Drosophila melanogaster: one gene and its partners. The protein of the gene in region 3 interacts with the protein of the main gene of each other region in a pairwise test. Each region holds a gene or a part of one and is shown on either strand. Other genes may lie near its edges. The genes, in order: CG8840, Dip-B and Nulp1.

What was found.
Region 1: the proteins of Nulp1 (region 3) and CG8840 interact in a two-hybrid assay, tested with the Drosophila melanogaster proteins (one large-scale study listed by BioGRID).
Region 2: the proteins of Nulp1 (region 3) and Dip-B interact in a two-hybrid assay, tested with the Drosophila melanogaster proteins (one large-scale study listed by BioGRID).

The regions. Positions count from the first base shown.
Region 1 is NT_033779.5:3,407,999-3,411,994, reverse strand, and holds CG8840 (uncharacterized protein), read right to left. Parts: upstream 1,436-3,996; 5' UTR 1,306-1,435; coding exon 889-1,305; 3' UTR 796-888; downstream 1-795. Other genes in the region: Pgant2 (polypeptide N-Acetylgalactosaminyltransferase 2), read left to right, coding at 3,965-3,996.
Region 2 is NT_033777.3:13,780,068-13,786,836, forward strand, and holds Dip-B (dipeptidase B), read left to right. Parts: upstream 1-2,220; 5' UTR 2,221-2,384; intron 2,385-2,572; exon of another isoform or gene 2,573-2,627; 5' UTR 2,628-2,760; coding exon 2,761-2,774; intron 2,775-3,749; coding exon 3,750-4,026; intron 4,027-4,093; coding exon 4,094-4,192; intron 4,193-4,249; coding exon 4,250-5,386; 3' UTR 5,387-5,609; downstream 5,610-6,769. Other genes in the region: CG9288 (uncharacterized protein), read left to right, coding at 1-601; CG9286 (uncharacterized protein), read left to right, coding at 987-1,109, 1,171-1,297, 1,357-2,000.
Region 3 is NT_037436.4:8,108,051-8,114,244, forward strand, and holds Nulp1 (nuclear localized protein 1), read left to right. Parts: upstream 1-2,317; 5' UTR 2,318-2,448; coding exon 2,449-2,604; intron 2,605-2,679; coding exon 2,680-3,056; exon of another isoform or gene 3,057-3,127; coding exon 3,128-3,994; intron 3,995-4,061; coding exon 4,062-4,388; intron 4,389-4,443; coding exon 4,444-4,664; intron 4,665-4,731; coding exon of another isoform or gene 4,732-4,745; exon of another isoform or gene 4,746-4,961; coding exon 4,962-5,122; 3' UTR 5,123-5,356; downstream 5,357-6,194. Other genes in the region: Sarm (sterile alpha and armadillo motif), read left to right, coding at 589-673; fan (farinelli), read left to right, coding at 1,228-1,884; Arp3 (Actin-related protein 3), read right to left, coding at 5,906-6,001, 6,063-6,146.

The DNA of each region.
Region 1 (3,996 bases), on a different chromosome or scaffold from region 3:
AAATTGCAAAATAATGCAATGTTTTTTCGTTTATTCCAATGAAATTCGATACACTTTCTGGTAAATAAACTCTATGGCATTCCTCTTGAGAGTGGGCCAAATCGTCTGGCCGAGAACAGACGAAAAACAAGATTTCTGGGCCCATGATGGCATGTGGCATAAACAATATCTATTTTCTATCTGGGTTCGAGTTCAATGGTCACATTGTTGGCTTGTTTTTCAGCCAGCCGACGGAAGGGGCATATGTCAATATTTTTGGTTTCGAATGGCGTGCAGAGACTTTTAATTGAATTCTGTTGTTTTTTGGTGTTTTTTTGATTCTGGGAGTGGCGCCCAAAAAAAAAAAATAAACTCTGATTTGTAAGGCAGCAAAAGAAACGGAAAACACGAAACAGATTGCAATAAATGATAAAGTTTGGTCCAATCGCCTCTTCGCATTTTCTTGCATGCTCTATGGGAGAAAACTAAATTTGATACGTTCCAATTACTAAATTATGCAGTTAGGAGCTCTTTCGATGTGAAAATCATTCACCTGGAAGACTGCACACACCCAGACCATGGAGAAGTGGGAAAAACACGAAGACCCAACTGAAGATTAAAGAAATCGCCGCTCTACTATCGCCCAAAACAAACAGAAAACAGAATAAAACCAAATAATGGTTAGGCTTGAGTGATTATGGAGGAGATTATAAAAGCAAATTAAATTTGCAGAGAGACTGCAATAGAGGAAAGTAGGAAAATTGTCACTCAACTTAGTAACCCAAGTTGCTCAAATATTCTAGCAAAACTGCGCTTGATTTTCAATTTGTATATATTTAACTCACATACCAACTATTTAGTATAAACCATTGGTTTATGAAAGACGGAAAGTATTAAATTATGCTAAATCTAGTCGGCGTGCTCGCCATGGCCAAGTTCCTCGCAGGCCCGCTTCTCGGCCCCAATCTCGGCCAGCATTTTCTGGGTCTCGCGGGCCAAATTGACCAGGTTGTGGAGCCTGGTCTCCAGGGTATAGATTCGCCTTTGCTGGGCTTCGATAAACCTCCCATAGCGATTGTTGACCTCCAAACGGGACTCGGCCAGATTACGCCAGTAGTCTATGTCCTTCACCTCATGAAATGATGATGCCTTCTTGAGGTTTCCGATCAGAGTCATTATAACTTTGGCCAGGGATCGAAAGGAGACGCGAGTTGATCTCTTGTGTGTCCTTGGAACTGCCTGGGATGCCAGCGACTTGGATATAATGTCATCGATAACAGAATCGGCGGAATAGTCCGATTTCAGGGTCAGCTCCATGGAAGCCATCAAAGAATTCAGCTGCAAGTACGGAACTTGATCAGAGTTCAAATAGAAATCTTACTAATTTTGAAAGTATTTTGTATTGTCTTATGTAGTACAGTAAGGTATACTGTAGAAATCAGGCAGATATCCTATTCAAAGCCTGCTGTGCTATAAAAATAATCTGAAAAACAAAGTTCCTTTAAATCTACATAAATATATAAATGCATCATTGGTATCCTTTTAAGTATTTATAGCAATTTAATGGAGTTAGCCATTCGCAGATTATTATCTTTGCTCACAAATCATCGAAATGGCCAAATAAAGACAAGCTTCATCAGAACGCCATAAAATCGTATCACAATTTCCATATTTTCTCTGTGACCCCAAGCAAAAAAACAACAATCAATGCCATCCAATGGCTATGAACTCAATTCAAAACAATTCGTTTTTCTTTGCTCTTTCATCTGAATTTGGCTGGAAACATTGAACTCGAGCAGTAAACCCAGTGATGACCATTTATAGCAACTTGTTGCTCTGGTTTAGCATGACGCCAAAGTTGATGATAGTTTTTTATTTTTTTTTTTGCCAAATTGTAATAACAAGTCGCAGAAAACTAGAATTTGATGAGTGCCAAGTAGTTGATTTGGAGTCTTGACTTTGACCTTTTGAGTGGGCAAAAAGTTTCGTCTTTCCCTTTTGACGTCAGTGGCATAATTTTCCAGTCATTACTCTCCCGAGGATTTCCATAAATAGATACTATTTGCAGCGAGACTTGTTCTTCCCAAAGGACAAATAAATTTGCAAATGGAGAGGAAAGTTTGCATTTTTATCGTCCACCATTCTGTGATAAAAATAACTCAGCGAATTGAGTCGGATTTCTGATTAATTACAATAGCTCTGGCTCATTTGGCAATACGACTAACCAAAGGTTGCAGCTGCAATTTTCTGGATTACAAAGCGTTTCCGTTGGCTTAAAGCTTAGTGCTCACGCTGCGTATGCGTAATGCGTATGTGGTGGCCTATGCGAGAAATGAGGACACCACCCTCGAAGTGTTTGACATGTGAAGGCGAAACTGCTAAGGAGTTGCAGTAGGGGGTCATGATATTGAAACCATATTAATGTAAGGCGGAACGCTTTGAAAGCGAATTCTACGAACGATTATTTTCAAGGCCAAGACGAAGTTATTTTCGGGATATGTGGCCTTCTATATAAGTAAATATAATTACAGGGAACAAGCTCTATCCATTTATTTTCGTTTAAGTCTGAAAAGGTCTGCCAGTTAAATCCAAAGAATCCAACATCTGCTACGCAGCCAACCTTTTACAACTACTTGGCTGGCTAACTGACCCAGCTAAATTGACAAATGAATCATTTCACTCCGCTAAACAGTGACCGAATTTAGGAGGTCCTGGAAGAGGGTCCTTATATCACGGTCGGTTATTAATTGCCCTTTTGCGTTGAATCTATTTGTCAAGAGTTTTGTCAGAAGCTCCTTTATCGGCGGCCCTCTAACTCTGATTTATGTGTGGCAAACGTATTGAAAGCGATTTCCTTTCTTTTTTAGCTGACTTTGGCACTTTGCGTTGCACGTTGCGTATGCGTGATTTTAATTTTAAGTGGAGCCACTTTTTTTTCTGGCTCTTTGTTGCCTGCTTTTATGGGTCTTTCTTAGCCTGAAATATGTTGCCTTTTAGCTGAAAATTTGGAAGGCGTATTCAACACTAAGCTTACCCTTTATTATATTTGAATGTGCTTTTTATGCATAGCTTTCTTTGACACGCCAGATTTCGCTCGACAGCTCTTCCATTTAAAATGTTTCGTGCTTCATCGAGCTTGCCATTATAAATTATTTACTTTGAATGTCCTCAAGCTGAGACGACCCATCCATTTTATTCGGCTTTATAGGAGTGAGTATTATATATAAGACTTGGTCTCAAGGCTATTTCTGTGTCTGCTGTGTGGCATTCTTGTCCTTGTTTTGTCTGTATTTTAAAAGAACCAGACACATTCTTACGTTTTGTTTTGTTTGGTTATCGACAGTTGTCAGGTCTGGTTTTTTGTGACTTACTTAAGGGAGAACAGCACCAGCTAGCTATTCAACCAATAAATTTATAAGGAATTTAAAGAGGCCGCCCATTTCGTAATTACTAACCACACTGTTTTATTTTTAAAGGCTTTCAAAGTTTTGGGCAGGAAATATTACAGGCCGCTCTGTAAAAGGTTTTCCGTGTTATTTTAGAACGAGTGTCGCCGAGGAATCTTGGACATTGTTTAAACTGGGTCGTGGTCGTGGCCTGGGCTTTTGTTTCTCAGTTCCTGGCAACATTTGCAATTTATAGATTATTAATCTTGAAGCAAACACGAACAGTATTCGCAATGCTTTTCCATTCTGGTCTGTTGTGTTTCGGGCTGAAACTTTAGAGAAACTTTGCCGTAAGCCTGCACGAGAACCAAACCCTTTTCATTCCCTTCCTGCACTGCGGAAAATTTTTCGCACCTTGTACGTAGAACTTTAATGGCTTTCTATATTAATTTTTATGAGCATTTTTTTGAGTGTAAGAGTATTGCTCCCAGTTGAGTTGAGTTATTGCCCCGCACGGGCGTCAACGTCGCCAATGTGGCGCAGATTAAAGAAATAAATTAAAACACTTGTCTCCCCTCGTGGACTCCGTGTCCTTTTAGGTGGAAAATCGAGCGCTGCGGCTACGTGAGGT
Region 2 (6,769 bases), on a different chromosome or scaffold from region 3:
GCACGAGGAGCAGGAGATCTGCGGGAAGCTCGTAGCTCCCATTACAGATAGCTTCCAGGAGGATTACCCCAGTGTTGTAGATCGTTTTTTCACCAGATATTACTACTTCAAGGGAGATGTTCCCTACCAAGTGCTCTACCACTCCAATCGCATTTGTCTGATTTGCCTGGCTCCCGAGCACCCTGCTCTAGCTCAAGGCATCTCATCGGTCAACTTTGATATAGGGAACGTAGATCGCAGCCAGAATGTGGTCAAGGGAAAGGGTAAAAAGGGCGGAATGATCCTACAGGCGGAGTCCACCTTGGCACTGCTCACCACAGCAAATGGAGGGACTTACAAGGTGCCCAGCTGCATTCGGGGCAAGCTGGTAGAGGTGAACACCGCCATTGTGGAGGAGCCAAAGCTTCTGGAGCAACTCCCCGAGGGAGCCGGCTACTTCGCCATTCTTCTGCCCAAAATCGAAAACTGCGATGCAATCAAGGCGAGTCTTTTAACCCAGGAGCAGTATGAGGAGCGCCTAAAATCGAAAAACGAAGGTCTACCTCAAATTGAGTCCACCGGGGACCACGCTCAAAACAAAAATAAGGAGATTCAGGCGTGATTTTGACCCTTGTTTTGTTGTGCTTCTTCTATAAGGCCTTTGTATTTTAAATTAATGATTCATACATATATTATATTGCTCAAAGTCAATGAGGACTTAAATAATAATAATTTTGACAGTAAACCACAAATAATATTTTCTGAAACTTGTGAATTTTGTTAATACTTATGGTCAAATGTAATGTCGGGTCTACTATTTAATTTCCAGTAAATTTTATTTCTTAACAGCCTGTTAACTCCGGTGCATTTACAGAACTCTGCCCACTTAACAGCACGCTCCGTAATAGTTGGCAACTCAATGCAACACGTGTGGACGATAAACAGCTGTTCGGGCGGCAATTTAGTGGAAGCGAAACAAAACCAAATTCGTTAACTAAATCTTAAAAATGTCAGCTAATAAGCAAAAGAAATTGAGTACCATGGAGGTGGACCCCAACGAGGATGTCTCCAGTTCCAGCGAGGATGATGACGACGACGAACCGCATCCAGATGCCTATAAGGGAAACGAGGTAATCTAAGTGCCTCCAAAATATGAAAAGCAAATGTGTTTCAAAATTAATATCCGGCTAGGAGGTGCAAATCGACTTTGAGGGACGAGCTCCAGTAGATCCCGATGCCCAGGGAATCTCTCAACTCCTGCAGCGACTATTCCTTCGTGCCCACATCAACTGCAACCAAATGGCGGATTTGATCATAGGTGAGCACTCCAAGGTACTATCTTGATCTATCTATCAGCACAACTTTTTTTGTTTCCAGCCCAAAATTTTATAGGCAGTGTGATCTGCCAGTGCGACGACGAGGGCACCGAAAGCGAAACGGAGGACGACAACATGGTCGAGGATGGCACCATCTTTGGAATCACCTCTGTGCTGAACCTGACCGCCAAAAAGGATCAGCCCAGCATCGCCCAGTTAAGGACCTACATACTGGATCGCGCCAAGACGCACGCTTCTCCGGAGGTTCAGCAGCAGTTGAAGGAGATTCTAGACAGCGAGCAGCGCCATGTGGGATTCTTGATCAACGAGCGCTTTATCAATATCCCTGCCCAGATCTCCGTGCCACTGCTGCAGAGTTTGCAGCAAGAAATCGAAGCCGCCAAGGCCAAGAAAATGAAATACGACTTTGGCACTCTGCTGCTGCTGGTTAAGTTCTACAGGAAAGAGTCGAAGAAGGGCAAACCGGGCGAGGACGTGTACACCAACGCTGAGGATGAGTTGCTTTCGGATCGGGCTAAGTTCTCCTTCGAGTATTCCATGGCCTCTGAAACCGATTCGGGCATGTCTGGCGATTGGCTGGAAGGCGATGCCGTGATGACGCCCTACAGGAAACTCCTGGTCCTGGAGGCCAAAAAACTTCCGCAGCTTATTGACGATATACAACGCTTTATTAATGGCGAATAAATATTTTTTACATTTAAAACTGCTGTGTTATTTGGCCTTAATATAACACCCCGACAAATATCTAATTAAGAAGTAATAATGTCCGGTCTCTAACGACCGATAAGCTTCTATTTCTTTGTAGTCCCATACAAAGAGTATCAAAAATTCGAACCGAAAGCTTTCCACATCCTTTATGACAATTGGCAACGCGGGCAAACCACAAACAGCTGTCACTTGGCCGGCATTTGAAAGCTTCGCACATGCCGGCTGGTCTACTGTGAAAAAAAAACCTGGTTGCCATTCCTTTGTTTTTTGCCACTGGTTAGTTTTGGCCCAGAAACTGCATCCACCGTGGACGTGACTGGCAAGAGGAACCCACAATAACAATTCCGAAGACCGAGCGACGTGAGTAGACTTTGCCTTTATTGTTTACAAGTTATATCCGAGTTCTAGAATTACGTACATAGCGAGCATACTGGCGATTATTCATCGCTCGTGCGATTTGTTTTCATTCGAAAACGCAAGTAGCAATTAAAAAAAAAAAACCTAAAGCCCGGCTCGCTAGTAAAATGTATAAAAAGCTTGGCCACCCAGCCAGAACATTGCAAATCGTCGCGGAGAGCTATCACAATCGCTCCTTATCGCCAGCTTTCCGTTCCAGATCCCGCTCCCAAGTTTCCAGTTTCCAGCTGCAGCGCTTTGTTCCCATCAGGGAGGTTCAGTGACGCCCCACTTGCCGATCAACCAAGTCGCGTGAGCTGCCTGCGAAAAAGTACTCATCATGGGTATCGAAAAGTGAGTATTTATTACCAACAGTTATTAGAGGGTGTGTTTTAAGTTAGCGCGGATCAGTTATCTAGCCACCGCTTAGCGACCGATTGGAAAAGCTCTCAAAGATTCGCCATCTTTTACAGTGAGGGTTAGTCGCTTAGCATCCATCAATTGCTATCTTATTTACCTTTCCCATAATTCCAAAACGAAATTAGAATGTTTTTAGTACTGCATATCTCAGCGTTTATCAGTTTTAATTAGTTGCCGGCAAGGAATAGATGTCATGAAAATTCCAAACTTTATCTTTTCCCAAAATAAAAACAATGTTTGGCGAAATACTGTATAAAAGTTAAAGGGGGGAGGTCACTTAATTTTATCATTATTACTTAGATAACGAGTTCTTGCTACTTCTGGAAACAGATATATATAGATCAACTTTTATTGTTTGATATGGGGCACTTCAAAAGATAACACAATTAAATGGTCAGCGACATAGGATTATTCTCCAAAATATTATAGACCCAGTTACCTAAGGATTGGTATTTAGTAGAAACACTTGAATAAGATTACAAATATTCTAAATAAGTACTTTAACACCATTTGTGCTAATACTTGGTACACTTGTTTCTAAATTGGAAATCGGTTTGTGATTATGGTCATTTCGAAAGCTTATCGCGATTCTTTATAGCACTTCGAGTTAAGATAAGCCCAGCGCCAGGAATGAGGGTAAACGAAAGGGGAACACACTGAAACATGGCCATGGTTGCTCCTAATACAGTGGGGACATTTTCTTTTGAAATAATAAATTGAAATACAAAGGCAACAGGCTGTTATGCAATATGAACGACTGCATCAGTTAATAAAGCAAATGTGACGTGATAAAATTCAATTCAATTAAACGCTATTGCACATTTAGTTGACACCCAGAAATGTTTCTTAATGAATACCAATAACGATTCCGTTGCGCACTTTAACTCTACTCTACGTGTGCCCCTCCAGAATTCTACCATGCACCCTCCGGCTGAACAAGCTGATGAGTCTGGCCGGCAACGACTGCCTGTGCATCATCGATCGCAATGCGGTTCCCAATGAACTGAAGGCCACCTTCGAGGAGCACCGCAAATTCGACAAGTCCTTCGACAGCAGCATATCCTGCTTTAAGGTGCCCAACGTGGATCAACCTGTGGTCTATGCCCCCGTCTCCGAGCTCACCGACTACGACGATGTGAGGAGCTACCAGGAGGCGGCCAAGCGGTCCATGGAGAAGGTTCTCAAGGTGGGTTTTTTTTTTCTATACATATTGTGTGAATTATGAAAGAAAATGTATATGTATTCTTTGCCAGGCTGGATTCCACACGCCGTTGCTGTTTGTGCCCAAGGTTAAGCGCTTCCCCGAGGTCGAACTCTGCACCGTTCTGGGAGCTCTGGAGCAGCTTTATGTGGTAATATGGATTATGTTTACTTTTATTTCAATCAATGTGCTAAAACACGTTTTTTAGCCCATTCAATTGCGCGAGGCAGGAACTTTGAAGGACCCCCGTGTGACCACGCTCAGTGTCCAGATCGATGATCCAAGGGCCGAAGCTATTTTCCAGGAAGCTCTCATTCTGGAGGCCGGTCGCTTTGTGGCCCGCGACATCGGAGTTGGGGACCCGGAGCGCATGACGCCCATCCAGGTGGAGAAGTACATCAAGCCGTTGTTCGACAAGCTCAACGTGAATGTGATCAGTGACACCCAGGTGTTGCAGAAGGAGTATCCCCTGTTTGCCGCCGTAAACCGGGCTGCTGATGCAGTGGAGCGTCATCGTGGTCGCATCATTTTCCTGGAGTACAAGCCTCCAAAGCCGGCGAGAAAAACTCTGATGCTGGTCGGCAAGGGTGTTACCTATGACACCGGTGGTGCTGACATCAAGGCCGGTGGTGTGATGGCCGGTATGTCGCGCGACAAGTGTGGAGCGGCTGCTGTCGCTGGATTCATGCAGGTGGTCAGTCAACTGCAACCGGATGATATCCATGTTGTGGCTGCCCTGTGCATGGTGCGCAATTCCGTGGGCGAGGAGTGCTACGTGGCCGATGAGGTTATCACCTCGCGAGCTGGTCTTCATGTGAGGATTGGAAATACTGATGCCGAGGGTCGCATGTGCATGACCGATGCCCTGTGCCGCATGAAGGAGTTGGTCGTGGAGCAGAATCTCCCGGATCCGCATCTTTTCACCATTGCCACCTTGACTGGTCACGCCTTCATCTCGGCAGGTGAGGGTCAGTCGATTGCCATCGATAACAGCGTGGCCCATCGGGAGGATCACGCCAGAAGACTGCAGGCTGCTGGACAGGCCTTCGGAGAGCCCTTCGAAGTGTCCATTCTCCGTCCCAGTGACTTCTCTTTTAACGCTGGAAAGGTGATTGGCGAGGATTTGGTGCAGGCCAATAATGCCCCGTCGGTGAGGACTCCTCGCGGTCACCAGGTGCCCGCCGCCTTTATGATTAAGGCTTCTGGACTGGACAAACACGGGTTGGATTCAATGCTGCCCATTAAGTACACCCATATTGATATCGCCGGCAGTGCCGGTGAGCACCCAGCGATGCCCACAGCTGCCCCTCTTGTTTCCCTGGTGAAGACCCATCTGCAGAAGTAAATCATGTCCACCTAATATTCAGGAGGATGTGTACACGATCACCACAAACAGTACTTATACACCCACGTGCTTAGCTAACCAACAATATTATCCTACTAACTGCATCACTGTTTTTTAATAAAGGCAAAACCGAGTTCAGATTGTATTCATAAATGTATGTCACTAATTTGGTAATCGTTTACAAATAAATGTGAAAATGATTTGTTTTTTTCCTTAAGCTTACAAAGCAAATATCTCATTATATTCATCAACATGGAAATATAAACATTATATCATCCCATTATAGAGAATAACCACCCTACATATATTTGTTAAGTATACAAGAAAGCCGCGTGGGTATTCGGTCTTTTTTATTTCTTTTTTATTATTACTGCATTTCCCAGCTGCATTGTTTGCATAATTGGCGGGTGCCCTGCATTTCGAGCTCTTGTTGGCCATCTACGGTATGGCTCGTACTCCTGCTCTTCCCCTTTCGCAGCCTTTTCTCTTCAGCTTTGCAGCGCCTTCTTTTTTTGTAGCTTGGCCCACAGCCTAGAACCCGTTAGTCGCTTCTTGGCCATGCTCTTCGCTTTGGGCCCCGTTCCCGGGAGCTTGGCCCAGCAACTTGGCGTGGATTGGCTTGGTTGGGGGATGGGGATGTGGATGGGGCCCGCTTGTCAGCTGTCGCATGTGTCTTGGTACCGTTATTGCCTGGCTTTGGAAACTCGGTCAAGAGTGTCTCATTCATGCTGTGATTGCATAATATACCGTTGGCTCCCGTTGGCCTTCTTCTGGCTTCTGACTGCGGCCTCTTCCCGTTCTTGGCCGTTCTCCCGTACCAATACCAACTTGGTTCCAACCTCTTTCTCCATCTGCGATGGGTGCGCTTCTGGGTAATTTATTGACAGTCACACTGGCCACTTTTGGTCATCTGGCCAAGTCGGAACACTTGGACTCTGACCGGGCTAACGGTACTTATTATTGATGAACGCAAAAGTCTTTTTCGTTGACTTGTCTCCCATTTACAATCCGTTAGTGTGAATTTATTGCCAAGGCGGCACGAACCAAGAAGAAGGCCTCAGCAGCAACAGAAGTGGGAGAAAAGAGGGAAGATCTCTGGTCTTGGGAGGCTTTCTGGCTTCTTGACCACTTAACGGACCATCAGTTGACCTGATTATGGCAGGACTGGTTCCTGGACGCTTCCTGGCCACTATCCGCCAAATCTGGTTCATGCGGCAGATGATTAATCGATTTTATTGGCATCCATTTTTATGGGCTTGTATTGAGATTGCGGAAAACCGTATGGCGTATATTTGTGGTTAAAGAAATCGTCAAAAATCTTACACGTAAAATTATAGCGATCTTAACGTAGTTTAATTTAAATGATTTTGTTGGAATATGTGA
Region 3 (6,194 bases):
TCAAACTAAATGTGTATTATTGGCCCTATTTAGCCCTGTTCCCCTGCTTAATCAGTCCATACTATATCATCAATCGCATGTACCGATATTATACGTTTTGTTCAATGTTTGTATTGCGTTCTGCATTTGAATTTGTGTTTGTGCCTTTAATGGAATTCGAAATGTTTTATTTGTATATATCTTATCACTTTTATTTCTTCCCTCTTTCTTTCTCTATATCCGGACTTTTTTGTAGACCATAAAAGCGAAATTGGCTACCGCAATCCGTTGTAACTGTTGTTATCGTTGTGCCTGTTGTACTGCCCCCGCCCACAAAAGCACCCACCCACCAAATCGAATCGATTTCGATTTCGAAAAACCCATCATCGCACACCGTGAGATTAATACGATGCCTACACTCAGCATCCGCCGTCTCGACAACCAACATTCATTGTTATTTATTACCAAGCAAGCAACAAAAAAAAGAAAGAAAGCAATCAAAGCAAATAGCGATACCAATAAACGTGTATATAATTGCATAAATCGAAAGAGTCCTGTCAAACATTTTTTAATTTGTATCTTACCCATACCTCCTCCCACTCGAAACAGCAACGAAATGGAGGACGAGGAACTTTCGGGCATCATTCTGTCCAAGGCCACCTCCCCCAATGCCGGGCGCATGATATTTTGGTAAATGATGGACCATCCCCCACCTGACACACATTCAGTCACACAAACGTATCGAATTTTTGTAAATATTTAATAAAACAAAAAACAAATAAAACGAACGATCTGAAACTCGAAATCATGTTGTTATCTAAACATCTTGAACTTACAAATACAAAAAACTACAATTTGCAAAAGTTCTAAAAAGTTTTTGAACATTATTTAAAGACAGGTTTGTATATAATTTATGAAATTAGCCTAAAATATAGCTTTTAAGACATTCCTTTAAGCAACATAAGCTAATAGCTGCAATCTATAATAGTGATGCTGCGCATATGACTTTCAAAACCGACCAGTGTGTCCACACCAGAAAAGTTGAATTCATACGAAATCAAGCAATATGTGAACTCAATTCAGCCCTGAAATGGAAAGTTTCACATTCCTTTTTCTGTCATTTGCACTACGGCATTGTCAGGGAACGTGTTCATTTGGTACCACATTTTTTCATATATTGGTCATAATCGGTTCCAGTTCATATCGCTTCCGATTTTTTGAAAAATAAAAAGGTACAAATATTCCAATATGTCCGACAATACCGAGAGCAAACTTGCGCTAGACCCGTGCGATGTGATCGTCTTTGAGGGACCATTCAACCGCTCGGTGAGCAGGAAGCTAGTCATCAAGAACACCAGTAAGACCCAGCGAATGGCCTTCAAGATGAAGACCACCACTCCAAAACTTTTTTATGTACGCCCCAACATCGGTGTCTTGGGGCCCGAGCAGAAGGTCAGCGTTGACATATTCATGCAGCCAATTCTGCAGGAGCAGATAAAGAAGCGTCATAAGTTCCTTCTCCTGGCCGCCGAGGTGACTGGTGACATAAGCGATGTGCAGGAGTTTTGGAAGATGCAGAACCCGAATGAAACTCGGGAAACCAAGATCAAATGTGAGCTAGTCCCTTCGAAGGAGGACGATTTCCGTCAGGCGGGAGGTTCAGCTGTAATATCCACGGACAACAAGGACGGAGAGGTCCATTTTGATGCCCAGGAAGTCAGTGAGCCAATGGCCAAGTTGCTCAAGCAAGTCAGCATGCTGGAGGACGAGCATATGGCCCTCACAGACCAGATCGACGGCTTGCGTGACCAGGCGATTGGGCGCACTTTCTTCTACATGGCCGCCATAGTAATCATTATACTGTCCGCTGTCGCAGGCGCCTATTATGGCAAGACTCGTTTGTAAATTCCTTATCATGGCAGTTTTTAGAACATAAGGCAGTAAATTGCACCGAAATTGTACGAAAATTATTTGTCAATAAAGGACATTTTGGTTGCATATTCTATTTTGAGATAGATAATTAGTTTATGCTTGTATACCAATAAATGCGTAAGATGTTATATTCTCACTTTACTAGAAGTAAATAAGTTTAAAATAGGAAATGTCGAATAAAAATAAATTTTTTCAAAACAATTTAAAATGCTTTTTCCTATTTCACTTTATGAAGAGACAAAAAGTAAACTTATTAAAATTTCTGTGAATAACACGTCAAGTTTGATCCAACTTCTACAGGCAAGGCGTATAGGTGTATAGCACTTGCTAAAATTTAGAACTTCTTTTTCAATTCCCGCCAAGACGGGACCACCTGTCTAGGCCAGTGCTGTGAAGCGCGCGTGGCCACAGAGCTCGGCAACCCTGCAGCCGTGCGAAAGCGAATGTGGTGAAGAAAAAAAAAACAGCGAAATACACACGTATTTTGCGACGAAATTAAATAGAATTCCTGCTAAGGGGTATAAGGACACTTGAAGGATGTCTGCGCGAATGCTGAAGAAGCTGCAGGGCGACGCTGACAAGCTGGCGCCACCGCCCGATGACGAGGACTGCGAGGAGCTGAGCGACAATGATGAACTGGAGGACAGCGATATGCAACGCTATCGAAAATCACACCTTAATCCATTCGATTTGGTAGGCCGCTATTAAAAAATAGCCAGCTCATCACCGAATGAACTGCATAATCCTCCGTTCCCACAAATTTTCTAGCTCAATCAAGCCGGTTTGAGTCTCTCGGAGAGTGAGTTCAAAGAAGATGACAATGAAACGGAGCATCCGTCTGCTGCCCTGCCCAATGCTACTGCCAGTGCGGCCAAAAAGAAGAAAAAGAAGCGCAAGAAGAAGGCCAAGTCCAGTGGGAATCACATCAGCAGCGAAGATAACGAGCGTCAGGATAAGTACTTTGAGAAGGTGGATCCGCTCCTTGGCAAGGTCTACGATGCGGTGCCCAGACAGTCGGCGAAACAGTTGGTATCGGCTGCCACCGGGACTACTGCCACCAAGAAACTGCTGGCCGTAGAGCTACGGCACCTGAATCCACAGAACGAGATGCGTCGCACTTTTGGCAAGCGGGTGGTAAAAGTGGAGTAAGTTTGGAGTGCCTGGGCTAAGAACTTCCATTCTGAAACTTAACTCTTGCAATCAAACTTTCTTTCAGAACCAAGCGTGGCAGGCAGAAGCCCACGCTGAAGTCCACCTATATGGTGACCGCCAAGGATTCGTGGCCGGCACTGACTAAAAACACCATCACGATGAAGCTGCTGCCCGCCCCAGACTCTCCATCGGTGTCCTCCAAGTCTATCACAGATAATGGAGCGGACGTTCAATGGTTTGCCTTTGAGCATAGCCAATACTACCAGGGAGTGCAGCAAATGTTCCTTTCTGCTCTCGAGCGCATTGACTCGGAATTTCTGATCACACTTATCAAACGCTGCCCCTATCATGTCGACTCCTTGGTTCAACTCAGCGAAGTATGCAAGATGACCGAAGACTTTTCCTTGGCCTCCGAACTGCTTGAGCGCGCCCTTCTCCTTCTGGAATCGTCGCTGCACATCAACTTCAGTTTGACGTCGGGCAACTGCCGACTGGACTACCGGAGACAGGAAAACCGATCCTTCTACATCGTGCTGTTCAAGCACGCGCAGTACCTGGAGGAACGAGCTTGCAGCCGCACCGCCTTCGAGATCTCCAAACTGCTCCTGAGTCTTCAGCCAGACACAGATCCTCTTGCCATGATTCTAGTGATTGACTACTATGCCTTGCGCAGCAAGCAGTTTGAATGGTTGGTAGAGTTCTATGAAAAGTATAACGCCGCGAGGAACCTCAATCAGCTGCCCAATATGGCCTACTCGTATGCTTTGGCTCTACACACGCTCTATGGCGCTTGTGAACGCTCTAACCAGGCACTGCAATACGCCCTACTAATGTTCCCGGGTGTTTTACGTCCTCTTTTGGACGAGATGTCGGTGCAAACGGACAAGAGGGTCCTGGCCTCATCGTACTTCTTTGCAGATGTGTCGGGCAAGTAAGTGGAGTCTTATCTCCGTGAATGATTAGTGGTATGGAATTTAATGTCTTATCTTGTTTACCAGTCAATCGCCCGCCCTGCACCAGCTGGTGTGCCTGTATGTGTGCCGTGCAAGAGTCGTTTGGCGTCAGAACGAGGTGCTACCCTGGTTGGAATCCAACGTGAACATAGTGTTAGATCGCATTGAGAGTAAGGATCCCCTGGTTAATGAGTACAAGGAGAAGCGATCACTGCGATATAGTGGAACACCACCAAGGCCCATTCTTCGACATGTCATACTCTCCGATTACAAGGAGAAAGTTCCACTGGCGGTCTTCGTGTCCAAGGAGAAGCAAGCCATTATGACCTATGATCCACTGCCGCCACCGAACAGCGTCAACTGCTATCATCGGTATGTCGTTCGAATCGGCTCAAAGTTAGTAAATTCTAAAAACCAGTACTTGCAGAAAATCTTCGTCAAGCAGCAGCCCCACAACGAACACGAACAATTCTGTGTCAATGTTCTTTCAATCGCTCTTGCCTTCGTTTAACATTAACAACCTAGCTGCAAATGCTCAGCTACAAGAAGGAGCAGCACCAGCAGCAGGTGCGGGAGCAGCTGCAGGCGATGCTAACATTGAAGTGGGCATTGAACAAGGAGCTGCCGGCGTAGCTGGCGAAGGAGAAGGTTCGTATGAGCATTATTAAAAATATCTTGAGATAAAACCGATTTTGTCGCCCCCGTTTCGTCACAGAGCATGAATCTTAGAATATGTTTCGCTGGTTGTATTATGGCTTTGCTTAATTTCGTTCATATCCCGAAATTGTATTAAAGCTTTGGCTTTTGTTTCAATAACTTGGCTAAAAGCGATATTTTGTTTCTCATTCTTAAAATCGTCAAAAATCTAACCTAAAATTATGCTGAAATTCCAAAAGAATCGCTAGCGGATATCGTAGTTACACTTCTCCTCCAACATTATTGCAGAAGCTGGTTTGCAGCAGTCATTAACGCTAATGATGGACGCGATGCGAGACTTCCTGCAAAACTTCCGGATTGCAGAGCACTTGCGTTCGCCGGAAACGGCGGCGGCACAATCCACGAGCAGCAACGACGAGGAGGAGGGCTCCAGTGACTACATTGACTAGTCAGTTTGTCAATTACGCGAGGCGTAACGAAGTTGTTTCGGATTTCTAGCTCGGGACATGTTTTTTGGAAACCACCTTTTGCTATTTTCTCAGCTTAGCGACACCGTCACAAAATTTATATATACAATACATAGAGCAATTTGAACACAAAAAAATATATATATGTAACTTATGCATTGAATAAAATTTTCCAGTAAAAGCTTTAGATCGAAAGCGACGAAAGTGTTTGAGCTTAAAGAATGTTTTATTGATTTATTTAATGCCTTTTTAATTACGCTTATCAATATAACAAACAGATTTCTCATCAATATTTCTTTTCGTTTTTCCTTTTTTGTTCATTCAGTGTTTGAATTGGTTGCAGTTATTGCAATTATAAATATTTCTATGACAAGTAGAGCGTTTTCGTATTTAATTGTGTATAGAGCCGGGATTTCTCCAAGAGCTTAGATCGGTGTGACTGTGTGTGATCGTGTTTGAGTATGGTATAAAAGTCGACTTCTAGAAATAATGCACCTTAGATAGGGGGTTGAACTGGCAGACATCGGAGTTGTTGCTTTATAGTTAGCCTAACAAAATCACACGAAATTAAACAGAACGAAACTGATTTACACAGAGTTAATAGCTAAACACATATAGAAAAGAATAATTACTAATACTTTAGCGTGGAATACCGAATCGCAATGTATATATATATATATATAGTTGGAGAATAAATCAATAAATCAATTTTAAATGGAAAAATAAATCAAAAATAACTGCTGCAAGCCGATTGGATCGGATCAATTATGTCATGGTGCCAAAGACGGGATTGTGACGGCAAATGCTGGGGCCATACTCCTCGTAGGCAGCCTTCGTGTGACACACCTGATAGAACTCGGGCTAGAAATGGGAAGAATATTGAGATAAAGGATTTTACGGATCTTAGGCCACTATAACTTACCGTTGAAGCCAACATGCTGCCTCCAAACCACACGGCGTACCTCTGCATGTGGTGCGTAATCACCTGAACATCAATGGGTTTTGGCTGTAACAAAAATAATCAAAGTAAGAAGTATGACTCATTAGCAGCTGT